2 linked regions of the Saccharomyces cerevisiae S288C genome follow. The protein of the gene in region 1 interacts with the protein of each later gene in a biochemical or structural test. Each region holds a gene or a part of one and is shown in the gene's direction. Other genes may lie near its edges. The genes, in order: YGL108C and PFA4.

The links.
Region 2: of the proteins of YGL108C (region 1) and PFA4, one has a biochemical effect on the other in vitro, tested with the Saccharomyces cerevisiae proteins (one study listed by BioGRID).

What each region holds. Positions count from the first base shown.
Region 1 is NC_001139.9:302,818-305,780, reverse strand, and holds YGL108C (uncharacterized protein), read left to right. Parts: upstream 1-1,709; coding exon 1,710-2,132; downstream 2,133-2,963. Other genes in the region: RMD9 (Rmd9p), read left to right, coding at 1-1,448; CUE3 (Cue3p), read left to right, coding at 2,370-2,963.
Region 2 is NC_001147.6:321,337-325,108, reverse strand, and holds PFA4 (palmitoyltransferase PFA4), read left to right. Parts: upstream 1-2,114; coding exon 2,115-3,251; downstream 3,252-3,772. Other genes in the region: IZH2 (PAQR-type receptor), read left to right, coding at 745-1,698; transcriptional regulator SIN3, read right to left, coding at 3,561-3,772. UniProt on the Saccharomyces cerevisiae protein: Mediates the reversible addition of palmitate to target proteins, thereby regulating their membrane association and biological function. Palmitoylates several amino acid permeases.

The sequences.
Region 1 (2,963 bases):
CGAGAGACCAATTGGTAAAATTAAGTAGAAAGCCAGACTACGATTCGCAATCTTTTCACAAGGAAATGATGAACTTTCTATGTAATTCATTAAAGGATATATCTGATGACATTTTGATAGGCAAGGTGTCTGTCAGCGGATATGGAGCTACTCATCTATTGACTTCATTTAAAGAGCTGTCATTTGACGATGACTGTATTCGAATTTGGGAAGCGTCAAAGAATTTGTCCGACGAGACTACTTCACAGGCATTCCAAGAACCAAAAGTGGTTGGTTTTATGCTGCCATTACTTTATGCAAAAACGCGTTCTCTGACTGAGCCTAACGAGCTATATAACCAAATTATTCAATCCAAAGAATTTATCCATCCCAATCTTTACAGCGGACTGATAAAAGTCTTCATCAAGGCGGAAGACTACGAAAAGGCATTATCCCTCTTCGGCCAATTATGTGAAAAGGCTGAAGTGAGGAATTACGGTTATTTAATTGAAACGCACTTAAGCTTCATTGGTGATTCCAAGAATTTAACGTTGGCAGAAAGTTTCTTTGACAAAATTATCAACGATGAAATGCCATACAAGATTATTTTACAAGTCTCTACAGTGAACTCTTTTTTGCAGAATATATGGAAAGCACAGAACGATTTTGATCATGTTTATAGAATATGGGAAAAGGCTGTAAAATTTTATGGTAACACTGTTAATCCTGGAATTTTGTCCTCACTAAACAACACTTTTTTCACAATATTCTTCGAAAACTATATTAATGACAATATCAATGGTTTCCGTAAGCTTCAAGAAATCATAACGTTTTACAGTGGGGTCAAAAAAATTGATGAACCATTTTTTAACGTTATGTTAACTAGAGCATCTATCTGGCACGAACGCAGCATAATCGATTTTATCGATAAAAACTATACTTTGTACCATATTCCAAGAACTATTATATCATATAGAATACTACTGAAATCATTGGGAAGCATAGACAACACGAATAATGAAGAGATTCTGGATAGATGGCTGGAGTTGGTCAAGAAACTGAATGAATTGGGCCAACAATATATAGCCAATGCTGATCTGTCCGCTTTGAGGGATGCCACTGTCGTATGGTCACAATCAAAGAGGGATGAAAAGGTCTTTTCTGCAAAAGCTAAAGGAACACCAGCAACGACTACGACCACAGAAGACGACATAAAAGTTCCGAAGCCATTGGAAAATTTGAAAAATGAGGATTCTACTTCGAATTCAGAAGACAGAATAGAGCTGTACTTGAAAATATTAAAAAGATATACGCCCTACTTTCGCGCTACCAAGCAAGTATATAGGTATACCACTGGATGCGCAGAGTCATACCCAATATTAAATGAGTATCTGAGCGGTTATTCTGACTTGAGTGCCGAGGACATTCCTGTTCCTCAACTACATAGCTTTATTGCTAAGGAGCAATAGTACTAGCGCATTCATTCTCCCCATCTCAATTTATGCATGCTTGTAAATAAACATTTAAACGTATAATATATAAGATCGAATCTTCTATGATCAAGAAATGTGTATATTTTTTTCCCTCATGTAATCAGCGATTTTTTCCCTCTAGAAAAATAAAAATGAAAAGGATAGGCATAAGACTATATAAAAGCGGTCTATAATTATCATTAACATCATCCAGGAAATTTGCACCAGCAAACAACAACAAATATTTAAGTACATAGTATGGGGCTTTGCGGAAGTAAAACCCAACCAATGCCTTCACAAACTACGACGGTGGCAACTAAAGCAAGAACAAAACCAATTAATCGTGATACAGTCAAGTCAAAGCAAGAACTTCGACATAAAGAGAAGAAAGATAAAAAGAAGAAGACACAACTAAAGAGTACAACTGTCCCGGTTGTGCAAAGGAAAGAAGGCAGCAAATTAACTGATACAAGTGATCCGAGCAAAAATAAAGTTAGCCCAAAGGAGGCCGCAAGGTTAGCTGCTGAGAAGAGATTTCAAGAGACGAATGAAAAGTACAATAAGGGCGAGTTAGGCAAAAAGCTAGCTCAAGAGCGTGCCAAGTCTCATAAGACTCGCTTAATGGAAGAGGCCGAGAAAAAGCATGCTGAGAGGGAAAGGGAAAACATGATTTATGACTGAGAGAACGACGGCAGTAATATTGTAATGAATCAATATATGCAATTGTACAAGAATTTTTTTGTTGGCCTTCCATTCTCCTCTTGGCTTTGTAACGTTTATATACCTGAATATCTGCCAATGGATTTTGCGCGGCCATAGAAAAAATGAAAATATAAAACACTAGTTCTCATAAATGAGAGACATTCGAGTTAACTATTGAATCTTGGAAATTTTTATAGGATAGAATCACTAAGAATAATGTTATCAAGGTACAACCGCGTTATTGAAATAAATGGGGGTAATGCAGATATTTCTCTGCCCATTGTCAAATTTCCACCGTTTAAACTCAGAGCTCAATTAATTGAAAAGGACCCCGTAGTATGGCTGCATCTAATAGAAACCTATGTAACGTATTTTGAGTATTTGATGCAAGGTGCTAACGTTGAATTATTAGATGAATCTACACTTGATCATCTTCGTTTATTTTTGAGAACTTACTTGCATGAAATTGCTGATGAGGAAGGAAAGTTATTAAGTCTCGGTATCAACCATGATGTGTCTGAACAGTTATATTTACTAAAAGGCTGGATATTTTCATTGATCAAGAAATGCGGGTTATTACATCTTCAGATTTTTGGTGACTCCCTGTGGAATTTGATCAAAGTATATGTTAGACGTAATCCAGATTCTATTCGTGGTTTGATCGATGGCTCATTGAAACCACGGATCAACACGCAACGTGTACAATTGGACAAATCGTACCAAGTTCAACAGCATTTGAAGCAGTTAATAGAATCTGGAAAATTTAAAAGAATAGATTTAAGGTGCGTTGAAGATCTGCTGTCTGCCAAA
Region 2 (3,772 bases), on another chromosome or scaffold:
ATGATAAAATTGGAATATAAATAATCTTAAGAAGAAAAAAAAAACAGGTAGGAGCTATAATCGGCTAAAGAGAAAAGAAGAAAAGTTGCAGTGTATACGGATGAGCACTTTCAAAGTAATATGGCTATTTATGATGGCTTGGGGCATTAGATTAAAGGAAAGCCAATATACGCTGAATAACTTTCTGAAGTTTGAATCCTTTATTCATCAAATGAAGAAGAGATCCTAGGATGAGTATGGAGACTGATTGTTTGTTAAAATCTTATAACCCGTATGTGTTTCCAAGGTGGTTTACAGAAGCCTCAGGCTCTCACCTACGGGTTAAAATCTGACTATGGTACAAGCACGTTCGCCTCATTCATATTTTCCATAGAAAGCGGACTCAAATTTTGAAACCGCATTTTAGAAAGAAAAACTCGATAGCATGTTAAATATTTTAAAGAATACCATAATTCGTTAAAAATACAAAAGTGTACTGATATCGTACTTCCTCTAGGGTAGCACTACCTTGTTTAGGCCAGAAATTAAGTAACAAACTTTTCTTGTTTGCTTCGAGTATACTAAAAAACAGACACTCGGGGTTAATAGGCGGTCTTCCGTTGTTGAGCTCTTTTTTTTTTAGAAATCCAACATCTCTTCGAATAGTAGATTAGAAATAGTATTTATGTCAGCGTTCCTTGAGCCAAATGTACTAAATTTCCCGTCGTTTTAATTATGCTGCATGTTGGAGAAGAATCATTCCAAATGTCAACTTTATTAGAAAGGACTAAGAGTGTGCAAGAGCTGAAGAAGAGAGCTGCAGGGAAAACATCCGCAAATCCCGCAGAGGTCGCTAAAGCTAAAAAAGTACTAAGAAGGCTATATAGTTGGGATGAAATTCCGGAATGGCAAAGAGACAATGATTTTATTTTACATGGATACGTGAAAGAAACTAGTAGCTTCATTGAAACTTTTAAAAGTTTGTTTTATTTGCATAATGAAAGTGTCAATATTTATTCACATTTAATTCCTGCTCTCGGGTTCTTCACTGTACTGTTGCTAGATAAATCTACTATCAAAGTGTTTGCAACAACTACATGGCTAGATCATATGGTAATCGACCTCTTTTATTCGGGGGCGTTTGCATGTTTAATATTGAGTAGCTCCTTTCATTGTCTAAAGAGTCACTCCTTAAGAATTGCTACCTTAGGAAATAAGTTGGACTACCTTGGTATTTGTATATTGATTGTTACGTCAATGGTCAGTATTTTGTACTACGGCTATTTTGAGAAATTTTCCCTATTTTGCCTATTTGCGCTTATTACCGTTAGCTTTGGGATCGCGTGTAGTATTGTGTCACTAAAAGATAAGTTTCGGAAAAGAGAGTGGAGACCTTACAGAGCTGGGCTATTTGTTTGTTTTGGTTTATCCTCAATTATTCCAATATTCAGCGGCCTTTACTGCTATAGTTTTTCAGAAATTTGGACCCAAATTCAGCTCTTTTGGGTATTACTTGGGGGTGTCCTATATATAATTGGCGCTGTTCTTTATGGAATGCGGTTTCCTGAAAAGATTTGCCCCGGTAAATTTGATATTTGGGGTCATTCTCACCAACTTTTCCATTTTCTAGTTGTTATTGCGGCATTGTGCCACTTGAGAGGTTTATTAAATAGTTATGAGTTAGTCCATATAAAGATGGAGAACGGGATTGTCTCCTAGATATTTGGAAAAAACGTAGGATTTATATAGAAAGTAGTTTTAAAGTTAAAATAATAAAATGGTTCTTATATGTGAGAAGAGAATAAAGAAAAAGGCCCTTACAATAATATGTTCAAATATAGAAAAGAAATTCCCAGATAGAAGGGAAGCAGGATTTGTGCACTTTCTCATATGAAATATACACGACTTTAGCGTCTCAGAGGAACATTTTTCTTACTAAGAGCTCTCAATTTAAAATACGGCTTATTTCCACTATTTATTGGCTGTCTCATGTATATTTTTATTATCCTGTTAAACCTACCTCTCTTACTACGCGCTTATGAAAAATAGCGGATCTGAGATACGATAATTATCGTCCCTACATTGTGGTGATGGTGTATAACATGAATTTTAAAAACTGAGTTGATCGTTAAACCATGCCAGTAAAGTTAAGGTGGCCTTGGTTAGGAATTGCTATACCAACGTTTCTGATTTCATTTATAGGCTATGGTGCACACTACTTTATTTTATCCAATTTCTTGTCAGTTCCGAAACAAATAACATTTGAGTTCTGTTTGTCAATGATATGGCTCTCCTATTACTTGGCCATCTGCACAAATCCAGGAAGGCCTTTGCCCAACTACAAACCACCCCCTGATATCTGGCGGAATTTCTGTAAGAAGTGCCAAAGTTATAAGCCAGAACGTTCACATCATTGTAAAACCTGCAATCAATGCGTCCTAATGATGGATCATCATTGTCCGTGGACGATGAATTGCGTCGGCTTTGCAAACTATCCGCATTTCCTTAGATTCTTATTTTGGATCATAGTGACGACTAGTGTTTTATTTTGCATACAAGCTAAGCGGATATATTTTATTTGGCAACAAAGGCACTTGCCTGGCTACTTCTTCAAAAAATCAGAACTGATTTTCTTAACAATATCGAGTCCTTTAAATTCTTTTGTCCTACTAACGATAACAATTCTTTTCCTACGATGTTTATTCAATCAAATCTTGAATGGAAGATCTCAAATTGAGTCGTGGGATATGGATCGGCTAGAATCTTTGTTCAACTCCGGAAGATTAACTCAGAAATTAATTGATAATACTTGGAGAATATATCCAGAGTCGAGGTCGTTTCAAAATAAAAAGGATGCTGAGGAACACTTGACAAAAAAAAGGCCACGTTTTGATGAACTTGTAAATTTCCCTTACGATTTTGATTTGTACACTAATGCATTACTGTACCTTGGTCCCATTCATTTATGGTTATGGCCATATGGTGTTCCTACGGGAGATGGGAACAATTTTCCAAAAAACGGTATTTCAAAATATGAGGCTAACTCCTCATTGGAAGACCACATCCTTTCACTTCCCTGGCCACCAGATGGAGGTAAAACAAACACCGTCTTCAATCATGGCAGCTCAACAATAGAGATGCGTAATGAAAGTGGCGAACAGCTAATAAGGACCAGACTTCCTCAAAATGGCAGACATGCTTCTCGTGAGAAGTGGTACAACGACTGGGGTGAATCACTAGACGATTTTGGAGTGGATGTTGATATGGAATAGAATACTCATTCATGGGAATATCAAGTATATGTATGTATAAACTGTCCCTTATAAATAGTGTCCTTTCGATTACATACTATGCTAATGACGTGTAAAAAGATTCATGCACCAGTGTATGAGTACACAAATATAACCACTGCATGTTATCACTTCTTCCTTTATGGAAAGATCGATGTGTCTTAAAAAGCTTCAAAAACACTTAGAATTTTAAAATTACAATGTTATATCGTTGACATTAATTAAAGGTACACATCAGAAGAAAGACCCTGTCGTACTAAAGATTTTTGTTCTAAATCTAGTTAAAACTACTTATTGAATCTTAGCCCCCTTGTCTGAAGATTCAGTATTCCCAGTCGTTTCTATATTATCATCTTGTGGTACAGTAGTAATGGATGCAGGCAGTACACTTGCAGTAGAGCTGTCCAAATTATCCGACTGCTCCTGTTTCGTAATTTTACCTTTTTCGGTTTCACTCTCTATTCCCTGGTTTCCAGCACTCGTCTTTGCTATGCTGTCTTTTA